Drosophila melanogaster: one gene and its partners. The gene in region 3 interacts genetically with the main gene of each other region. Each region holds a gene or a part of one and is shown on either strand. Other genes may lie near its edges.

What was found.
Region 1: of POSH (region 3) and Rab8, changing one suppresses a phenotype caused by changing the other (phenotypic suppression), as found in Drosophila melanogaster (one study listed by BioGRID).
Region 2: of POSH (region 3) and Tab2, changing one suppresses a phenotype caused by changing the other (phenotypic suppression), as found in Drosophila melanogaster (one study listed by BioGRID).

The regions. Positions count from the first base shown.
Region 1 is NT_037436.4:19,869,136-19,872,735, forward strand, and holds the start of Rab8 (Rab8), read right to left. Parts: upstream 1,944-3,600; 5' UTR 1,370-1,943; coding exon 1,246-1,369; intron 424-1,245; exon of another isoform or gene 392-423; coding exon of another isoform or gene 373-391; intron 294-372; coding exon 233-293; intron 173-232; coding exon 1-172. Other genes in the region: Usp32 (ubiquitin specific protease 32), read left to right, coding at 2,259-2,319.
Region 2 is NT_033778.4:19,290,639-19,294,473, forward strand, and holds the start of Tab2 (TAK1-associated binding protein 2), read left to right. Parts: upstream 1-1,890; 5' UTR 1,891-2,222; intron 2,223-3,835. Other genes in the region: Fkbp12 (FK506-binding protein 12kD), read left to right, coding at 1-98; mip40 (Myb-interacting protein 40), read right to left, coding at 656-1,459.
Region 3 is NT_033778.4:17,566,619-17,570,453, reverse strand, and holds the start of POSH (plenty of SH3s), read right to left. Parts: upstream 1,723-3,835; 5' UTR 1,391-1,722; coding exon 1,277-1,390; intron 1,209-1,276; coding exon 1,100-1,208; intron 933-1,099; coding exon 1-932. Other genes in the region: Ns2 (nucleostemin 2), read left to right, coding at 2,126-2,335, 2,723-3,401, 3,460-3,835.

The DNA of each region.
Region 1 (3,600 bases), on a different chromosome or scaffold from region 3:
CAGCAGCATTTTCTCGACATCGGCGGACGCATTTTCCTCGATATTCCTGATCCAGTTTTTGATGTTCTCGAAGGACTTTTCTTGGGTTATGTCATATACCAGCATGATGCCCATGGCACCTCTGTAATAGGCCGTGGTGATTGTGCGAAAACGCTCCTGGCCGGCAGTGTCCCTGGAAAATGAATGGAGATATAGGTAATTAGAGAATACAGATGAATCGCCTAGTACTTACCATATCTGCAGCTTAATCTTCTTGTTATCTAATTCAATTGTTCTAATTTTAAAATCGATACCTGAAAAGAGAAAACAGATGAGCATATACACACATGTACGTTTGCTAATTAATTTAAATAATTTGGCAAGAGGCTAAACCTGTTTGGTCGGAACCCATGACATCGCAGCTAAAATAAGAGACGAAGAGAACCGAAATCCACAAACCACGCAATTAATTTAAACAATGTCGTTAAGTAAATGCCCCAAAATTGGAAGTGTCGCGATGAAAACGTGCCAAAAACGAAAATAAACAATTATTAGCCACGAGCAGAAATGGGAATCGCTCTACTTTTGTGTTTACAAGTACGGGAAAGTACAGTGTGCATGTCGAATATTATTGTGATTATTATTTTAATAAGCTTAAAATTACTAGCATAATCTGATTTAACTGCCACTTGAAGTTGTACTGATTATGATTCGAATTTATTAAAAAGTATTTGCTGTGTTTGGTAGAAAGGCTTCACTGTACTCGTACGGGAACAACTACTTGAATTCCCTCTGAGACTGGGCATGGGCCTGCTGGGTATATAATAGGGCATTCCCGATTTGGCGTGCGACGGTCAAGTCTCGCATCGGAACAATCCGGCTTCTGGGGCGATAAGAGCAGCGAAAGTACAAAGACTATGGGTACTCGGACTGAGTACTCATTTCTGATCGCTTTCCTATGCGGGTGTGAATCTCAGGGCGAGATAAGGCATCCGGATATATTCCTTACGGGAAAATCTTAATAAGCGCGAGAAATCAAACATGGTGGGAGTGCCCCTCCCATGGAAACAACAATATTTATGACAAATGCGCCCGGATGGGGCAGGAAATAAAAAAGAAAAGAGGCATTTAATGAGTCACTGGGCCAGAAGCTCGGATTTCCAATTGCGAATGAGTTCATGCGAACGAAGGTGTTATAATTAATAACCAAAAAAAAAAAAAAATTAAGAATCGGAAGACACGGTAAACGCGGATGATGACACTCACCTATTGTGGATATAAACGTTGTGTTGAAGGCGTCCTCAGAGAATCGGAAGAGGATGCAGGTCTTGCCCACTCCGGAGTCACCGATCAGGAGCAGTTTGAACAGATAGTCGTAGGTTTTGGCCATTTTGTGTGCTTTTGCGGTAGGATCACAGTATCTGGCCCGATAATAGTGCTTAGCTGGGGGTTAGGGTACGGGTTAAGGGTGATGATGCTCTGTACACGTCGTCGTCTCCTTAATCAACTGACTGACTTCCTCTCCGATTCTTGGCTAATAACACTAATCACGATTATGCCCCATGCGTGCCGTTTAGCGTATGTATGTACATATACACTATACCCAGACGTAACCGCACTAATCCACAATCTAATTGAATCGACTCGAATCGAAAACGTATAGTTTTTTCCTTCTCTCCGCAGCGCAGCTCTTTTTCTCTTGGGTGTGTGTGTTGTGTTTTCGATTTCGGAGCCGTGTCAAAAATGGCGACGTAGATTTAAGACCTTTTTGTTGTCTGTGCCCGAGTTTCGGATTTCGTGCGGCGGCTTTTCCGGTGGGCAAATGCAAAGGCGCTCGCTACGCGGTGCGAGTCTACGTTGGTTTGTTGTGAAAATTACGTGGAAATGAAGTTAATTACTGCTTTCTAATTACGCCCGTACAAAAAATATGAGTTTCGATAATTCGTTGCTGCGCAACACTGGCGCGCCGTCGTCTATCGATAGCTTATCGTACGATGGGGAAAACAGCTGTTTCCAGTTAGTGTTGGAAAGTGCGCGAATATAGAAAGAAACAGAGGAAAATAGCACAAGACAAGAGTCAAAAAGACAGGTGTATATTATATATTCATACACATATATCGTCGTGATCCTGCACCTGATCCTCGCCAGCAGCCTATTGTTCCGCCCGCGACTGTGAAGTGAAGTTGAACAAATGTGAAAAGTGGCGTCGCCAGACGCAGCAGCAGGCGGAGCCCCAGAATCCATTGAGTTGCACCCCCGCAAACAAGAAATTCTGGACCATGGGCACCAAGGAGTCCAAGCACTCCAATAGCGTCAGCTACGAGGATTCGGTGAAACGCGGTGAGTCTCCTCCGGCTGGTTACTTGTGGGGCCGTCTCCCAGCCGCAGAAAATAGGTCACTGCCAATCAAGAAAACAGAACCCCCTGCGAAAGCAACAACAACGTACAAGCAGGTGCAATCGATTCCATTGTGTTGTTGCGCCCACGTCTTCTGACCAACGGGAATCACCACTGACTTCCGCCACCACCATCCTCATGCTCCTCTTAATCCTATCTCTTGCAATTATCTACTGCCATTCCAGTGTGGCTTCTTTATTGCATGTGTTTTCATGTGCATGGGTATTTGCGTCTCCGCCGCCAATGACGTCACAATAGAAAAGCTAACCGAATGGGGTGGCAGTTGGAGGTGTGCGCTGTGTGGGTGAGAGACAACAAAGCAGCGAAGGCACATGAGAAACAGTTAGACAGCCAGTGGAGTGCAGTTCACGCTTAGGGTGACTGGAATGCGCGGATGCGGATGTCGCTGCGAATACGATTCATTTCAAGTTCAGCATGTCATTCCAGTGTTCATTTCAATTCGCACTCTATGGGCAAAGGTCTTCTGTTGAAGTATTTTATAAAGAAGCCTACTTTAAAATTTTTTTGTTTATAATGAAATGAAATTATAATGAAAGGGGAGCATTTTGGATTTCGATTTTCCAATTGGAATATCCATAAGAAAAATGTTTTAAAATAAATAATTCATTGGGCTTTTAATTCTGCATGTCATTTCCTTATTTCTTAAAATTCCTCTTTAAGTGGAATATGTTCAGATAGGAAAAGGAATTACTGTGTTTAAAACAAGCTGATAAGCCAAAAAAATAGAAATTTATTTACAAAGTATGAAAATCGGAATGTTCACTCTTCTCCAAATATTTTATAATAATGAACCAGCAATAAAATTGGTAATCATTCAGAAGAGTTAAGATTATTTAAGCCAACTTGTATACCCATTTTCGGCCCACTTTCAATGACGTTTAGCTTCCCTTAGTGCTTTTCACTTACTTTATTCCGCCTTCCCTTTGCGCTGGCAATCATCTAAATGCTGGTGTTGTTATGGTTATGGTTGCTGATTTGTGGCCAGGCGGCCCAGCCAGAGTTAAGAAAACGAGTGTCGCTGATAAGGCTCACTCCCCCGGAACACCAGCACTCCGGACCACCCCTCCACCACCCACCATCACTGGTGTGGGGCGTGCGACCGGGTGCGTGTGTTTCTTATTAGCCACTCCAACCGGTTCCAGTAAAACCAAGGGGGAAGTGAGGACTAGCATGCAAGTATGTGCGCGGTGGTCAATAATCGCA
Region 2 (3,835 bases), 1.7 Mb from region 3:
GCTCGCCGGACTATGCCTACGGTAGCCGTGGCCACCCCGGCGTCATTCCGCCCAACTCCACCCTCACCTTCGACGTCGAGCTGCTCAAGGTCGAATAGGCGCACAGGATGCCCAATGTGTATACCCCAAACCAAATCGCAGGGGGTTGCGGACCGGCGCACCGGCGACGAGCCGAAGAACATCATAATCGGAACCAGAACAATCCAGCAGCATTTGCCAACCCAAAATAATAATGATAACTTCATACACAGCTCTAAACTAGAACTAATTTAACCGCAAAGGGAACGCATCTTCTACCAATACAAATAAACATTTATTCAAGTCAATGACAAATGTCTTTCTTATCAAAAATCTTGGGATAATCCAATCAAATCAGCTGCGGTTGCCTTTCCGTGCTGCAATACAAATGCATTTCATATTATTTTTTAATCAGGAAAATATGCAAATATAAAAACGCTTTATCATTCTCTTGATAGACTTGAAGTGGTCTACTTGACAAATTTGATTTTATTTTATATAAGTATATAAAGTGTACAAGCATCTTATTTGCATATATATTCGATTTGGAAACAGGATTTTTTTTAATTCTTTGTGCACAATTAATCCAAATTATTTTTCATTTTCTATACCACTTCCAAAATCACCTAGATACGCTTCAGTTTTTGCAGACCAAGCTCATAATCTTGTCAATAACTTCATATCGCTCCTTTTCATACTTCTTGATATGCTTTATCCAGTGTCCGCGCACTTTCTTCCAGCGGTTCATATTGGAGGACAGAAGATCGGAGGTACTGGCACCTTGGAGAGCCTTTTCCCGCTTCTTGTCCTCCTGGCTGAACTCCAGACGAGGCGGAATTATGGGCAGATCCGTGGACTTGGCCTGCGGGAGCTGGTTGATCACCTTTATCTCGCCGCTTTTAATTTGGGACAGGATTTCTTCGCCGTTGTCCTCACGTTTGGTGGCCGTGAGTGAAGCATCTGTTTGAAATGCACCCACAGCTGGATTCTTGGGTTGATTTGCCATCCATGCGCGGCATATGGGGTACAAAGGAGTCTTATCCTGGTATTTGGACAGGTCCAAACTTCGCTCAAACAGGCGCATTACGTAGGTCTCGCCGGGCGCCTTCTGGGCGACTGCCGCTGCTCCAACGCTCTTCTTGTAGAGCACTCTCCTGGCCTTGATGCGTCCTCCGGCGCCGGCTGCGGCTGCACTCGAGGATGTCGAAGGCTTCTCGCTAGAGCCCGACGTGACCGTCTTGACTTTCGGATCTAGCTTTACCTGGTACTGACGCTGCTGTTGCTGCTGGATGAGCAGCTTCTTCGAGGGACGGCCCCGAATGGGCAAATCCGACTCTGCGTCGTCGTCCGGCGGCAGGTTTGTCGTCTCTGGTTTCTGCTCCTCACGGCGCGACTCCCGCAAGCGCAGGGCCGTTTCCTTCTTTTTCGGCACAGTCTTCATTTCCAGAAATCTTGTATTCGACACGAAAATTAAGGGAAAACAATTTCGAATGCCGAATCGGAAATCAAACGGACTTACGGCGCTTCACAACACTGAAACACCACTTCGCCACGCAACACTACATAAGTCAGTGGTATTTCAAAAAATACCATAAATTAAAGAAAACAAACGGTCTTGGCGCCTAACGCTAGCTTGAGAAATAATTCTTTGAATTATTTGTAGCTTAAATGAAAAGAAAAAAGAATAACATATATATTTTTAAACAAAAACTTAATACACATTAATATTTGACTATTCAAAAATATTTAATAGACTTTGATTGTTAAATTAATACTTTTGTAGATTAAAAAAAAAAAAACAAGGAAATGAAAGTCTTAAAAATTTGGTATTTCTCGATTTGGTAATTTTAACCCAAAACCTTTCGGGCTTTTCAACCCACCTTTTATGGTCACACTGCTGTTTTGTGATCGCGAAAAGAGCGACGTGAAAAATACATTTAATTAAGTTTACTGCGAAAAATAAAATAAATAACTAAATTAAAACAAAGCGGAGCTTTTGCGTGAACTGTGTGTGTAGTTGTGAGTGTGTGAGAAAAGAAAAACGAAAACAAAGCCAACGAGGAAATCGAAGGGGCAAAAGTGGAAAAGATTCAGATTGAAAAGCACCAAAATATCGAAATCACAATTTGAATGTCAAAGAACAAACGACAAAAAGAGCGGAGCAACAAAGGAACATTGGAAAAGTCAAGAATTTAACTTATTCGGTAAGGATGCAAATTGTAAATCTGTGGATTTTGCTTCTTCTGCTCACGCACACATCCACATACAATTGGGAAGTGCACAGGTGTGGGTGGATCTGCTCTGTGTGCAAATAACAAATTGTGAAAAACAACTCGCACACATGCAGATCACCTAGTGCACCAAATAAAAGCAATAAATAAACACATTTCCAAACGGGCAACAAGTTGTGAATGCGTTTTTTAAGGGGGAGGGGCCATACCAAGTTTCCCAACGTTTCACATTTTCAATCGATCTCGGTTGTTTTTATATATGTATGGATATTTTTTATCTACTATTGCGTAGCTGCCAATGTCACCTGTTTTTTGCTCTCTCTCTCTCTCTCTCTTGCGCTCTCTCCCTCCCTCTCGCTCGCACCCACGCTGGCTGTAGCTGGTTTTTATCTTGTGCCGTTAACACAGCCATTACGTGTCTCTTTCGCACTCGCACTGCACATTGGTGTTCGTGTGTCTGTGCAAGACTGCACGTAACTGTATTACCCATTCGTACATGCGTATACGTATTTCCGCCTATTGATAACGGCTGAAACTCCCTCGAAATGGCCGTCTTTTCGAAATATGTAAACGAATCGTTCGGGTACATCCCCCGACCACCACCCACCCACCGCCCACTCAACCCCCTCCAAGCGCTTCTAATCGCAAAGTGCAAATATTGATTTGCTATGTGTGCTTTTAGATTTTCTCCCACTATCAATAACAATAAGCGCTCTCTGTACGTTGTTTTTGCTTCGGTTTGGTTTCGTATTAAGAAAACAAGTTCACAAGTTTTTGCACTTGTTATGCACTGTAAGAAAAACGCAAGTTTTATTCAAGAGCTCCGCATTACCGCATTATATTGCCAATTGTGAAACTTTTATAATATTTATACTAGCAGCTTAGTTTTGTAACTTTCGGAAATAAAAAGTTTTGGTAAAACAAACAAGAAACATTTTATTTATTTTTTTAAGTGTTGATCATTGTTGCTGTTTCGTTTTGTGACTTTGTTTATGTGGCGGTTTTCTTGTAATTGCGGGAATTTCCCGGCATTTCAGCAGTTGAGAGTGCAAATATAAAGCAGAGAGAGAAACCCTCATCTGTTTGTGATTATCTGAATTCTTCTTCCGTATTTAAGCGTTAACTCTGCTTTTGAGCGACAAGGCTGTTAAATATTTTCAGCTATAACACCAAAATTACCCTTTATCTCGCAATATATTAATAAATACAAGTCTCCAAAAGACGTCATAAATTAAAACGCGATTTAAATGACGTTTAAAGCGACTTCTAATTTATGTATGTTTATCACGAACTAAAAATTTAATTACTTTATAAATTTTAAATTCTCAAGATAGTGAGCAACTATGTATGTTTTAAAGAAAAAATTGTTGGAGTTCCACAAAATTTCGTTTGAAAAATTGAGTTTTTATGTACCAAATATGCAAATCAAATGAAACTTAAAAGCTGACTTAGAAATCCTTTTGTTTATATGGGTGAAACTAAATAAATCCTTTTGTTTATGTAAATCACGTTCGATTGTGTGCTTATTCCACGCATTAATAACTGCCTTACTCCATGCACAGAGTACAGCTTTTTTGAATGTCATG
Region 3 (3,835 bases):
TTCATGGGGCAGGCTAAGAATTTCAGCCGAATGGCGGTTGGTCTGCAGCAGACTTAATGGAGCTCCTCCTCCCAGCAAAGCATTTAGTGAGTGGCGTTTCTCCTTTGCTCCCTTGTCACGGAAACGAACAGACGCCGATCCGGAAGCTACTACATGTTGGGGGGTATTCGGCAGTGAGATTTGGTGATTCGGACTGCAGTTATTCGAGCTGGATGTGGAGCTTGAATTGCTGCTGCCCGGCGTGGAATTGGAGGATCCCGAACTGGATTCCGTGACCACCGTGGGATCAATAACTGGAACCGGAGGAAGGGCCCGCTGCCCCTGTTGCTTCGGTGGATGGCAGAATGGATGGGTGTGTAGCCCGCTGTCCAACAGCTTTTTGGCCGCTGCATTCAGCTCAACGAATGCTATTGGAAAGATTCCGATGGTCTGGCCAATTCGTCCTTCTGCCCAATTATGATCAACTCGGCGCATTACCTGTATTACAGTGCTTTTCTTAAATTCGAGGCATCCCTCCTCGTCGTTGGGCCCCATCTTAAAGTCATACATGGCAATGCACTGCGGCATGGGCAGCGGAACCGATACCTTGACGTAGTTGATGGGAAATGTGCCCTCCTGACCATTCGCTTGACCCACAAACCAGTTGTTGTCGATGCGATGCTTGATCAGTATCAGATCCCCTTTCTTGAACTTTAGATCGGTGGCTTCACCGGAGGCGAAGTCAAAGAGGGCATAGGCGTGGGGGAGTAGAAATCGACGTTGCTTGTGACGAGCCGGCTGATGAGATTGCTGATGTGACTGCAGCTGGAGTAGTTGGTTGTCAGGCGGGGCCACTGATTCCGCTGGCGGCTGAGGTTTGGCCCTTTCCGGCTGTGTTTCAGTCTCCTCTCCCTTTTCTTCTCCTTTGCCAGCTGCTGCATTTTGTTTCATGCCTGTGAGAATTAAAGAAAGGGTGTTTAAAGGTAGGTAAAGACCAGGTAAACGCCATATTCAATTGCCAAAGCCACTTTGCCGCACTCATAAAGTCAACCATTCTTTGATTTTGAGCGTAGGCTGTTGTGCTGTGCCAGTTTAGGTTGGTGTGGGCGTTAGCTGTTACCTTCTAAGATTCGCATCAGCAAGACGTTTGGAGGCAGCTCATCAATTTTGCAAGAGACCAGGATGCGGCACTCCGGGCATCGCAACTTGTGCTGACTGGCCACAATGTCCTGGCATAGAATGATGAAATCATTCGGTTATATGATATATATGTAGCAAACCCACAACAATTACTCACCTGCAAGCATTTGCGGCAGAAGGTGTGCTGGCATGGCAGCACCTTCGATGTGGTGTCCAGTCGCTCAAGACACACGGAGCACTCCAACAGGTCGTTTAACGTGTGCTCGTCCATCTTGCCAGTATGCAAAATCTCAAGGATGGTCACTATTTGAATTTCGTGCAGGGCCACATTCCAAAACACACACACATGCAGGTACTGGCTCACGCATACGCAATCCCAAGACGCGGTTGGGAAATAAATTTAGCTCAAATGCTAAAATCTACTATTATAATCGCTACTTGTCGTTCTTAATGCACTAAATCAGATTATATTATCGTTGCAATAGGCAGGATTCAATGTTTAATTTATTAAGTTTGCCAAGTGCAGCCAAAGCTCGTGGCCAAGCGGATACAAATGTACATAGGCACACGGATATAAAACCAGCTTGATACTTGAACACAGTGATGGTCATAAGTATATGCCCAATAGGAATAGTAGTTCCATAACATTTAACCAAAAAGAAAGAAGCTAAGAGAGTACTACATGTTTTTTAAATTCACTAAATTTGCAAAAAATTATTTAAATACCACATGTGCCCCGGTTATAGTTGCATTTAATAAATGCAAATAATTGTTAAGTTGTACCCAAACTGGTGTTTATTACTGTTGGGATTTTAGTGTGGCCAGTCCTCGTAGTCGATATTTTCTGAAGCGCATTTTAGTGTTGGATACTAAGTCCAGACAGTGCTGAAAAACGCACGATCCCTTTGTTTTTTTATTTCATATAAAAACACGTGTGGTTTGGTTTGATCGTGTTCAAATATACGATTTGATTTATAAACAAGGCACACGACATTCTTGAGACACCATGCCAAAGGTACGCAGCACCCCGGGTAAGCCCCGGACGCAGGGATTCAACCACTCAAACCACTCCATGAATCCGGAGCGCCCCAAAAGCGGTCTCAAGGGAGTCGCCCACCCCCGCACTAAGGGCACCATCAAGCGGCTTCAGATGTACCGTAACTTCAAGGCCAAGCGCGATCGCACTGGAAAGATCCTCACGCCCGCCCCCTTCCAGGTGAGATTTAGCTTTACAACATGTATCTTCGATAATTCTTATCTTTGGATTCATAAGATTTACCATCACTTATAGACATAGGAAGGATTTATTGCAACATGAATATCCAATAACCATTGTTTAGTTTTCAAAATTATCATCTACTTCACAAAGGTGCAATTAAAACGATCGACTCAAAATTAAAAGCATTAAAAGATAAAAAGATTTCATAAGTATATTTTGTTACGACTTATTATCCGTATAATAATTTAATTACAAATCTTATGTTTTCATTCTTGTTGTAAATATATAAAAGAAAAAATTAAATACAAGAGAGAAAATGCCGAATATGTTTTCCACAACCCATTTAATAATTCATACTAATCCTGGAAATGTGCTTTATTTTAGGGGCGCCTGCCTGCTGGAACAATGGCTCGAGTTGAGCCTACGCCCAAGTGGTTTAGCAATTCCCGCGTTATCTCGCAAACTGCTTTGCAAAAGTTCCAGGATGAGATTGGCAAGGCTGTCAAGGATCCCTACCAGGTGATCATGAAGCCATCCCAGTTACCGGTAACTTTACTGAACGAGGCAGCAAAATACAAAAGGGTTCATTTGCTGGACACCGAGAGCTTCGACAGTACCTTTGGGCCCAAAAAGCAGCGCAAGCGCGTCAGCCTAAAGGTTCGCGATCTGGAAGATTTAAGCAAGGCGGCCGATGACCAGGCCGATAAGTACGATTCAGCTAAGGATTTAGATCTAATCCGCGAGGATACTGGCGAAAAGAAGGCCGTCCGTGATTGGGTGTTCGGTGCGGGGCAGAGTAAACGCATCTGGAACGAGTTGCACAAGGTGGTCGATGCGTCCGATGTGCTGCTTCAGGTTCTTGATGCCCGCGATCCCATGGGCACGCGCTCGAAGTACATTGAGGAGTTCTTGCGCAAGGAAAAACCGCACAAACATCTATTTTTCATTCTGAACAAGGTTGATCTGGTACCGGTGTGGGTAACGCAGCGTTGGGTGGCTATTCTTAGTGCCGAATATCCTACTATTGCCTTCCATGCCTCCCTACAACATCCTTTTGGAAAAGGTAAGTTTATAAAGTAAAAATATCAATTATTTGTCATAAAAATCAATTATTTTTATAGGTGCGCTCATCAATCTATTCCGTCAGTTGGGCAAACTGCATTTGGACAAAAAACAGATCAGCGTGGGCTTCATTGGGTATCCCAACGTGGGTAAATCTTCTGTTATTAATGCGCTACGATCAAAAAAGGTTTGCAAGGTAGCACCAATTGCGGGGGAGACGAAAGTATGGCAGTATATAACGCTAATGAAACGCATCTTCTTGATCGATTGTCCTGGCGTGGTGTATCCCACCGCGGAGACTGACACCGAGAAAGTGTTGAAGGGTGTGGTGCGGGTGGAGCTCGTCACAAATCCTGAAGATTACGTAGACTCTCTGCTGAAACGCGTGCGTCCGGAGTACATTTCAAAGAACTACAAAATTGAACACTGGAACAC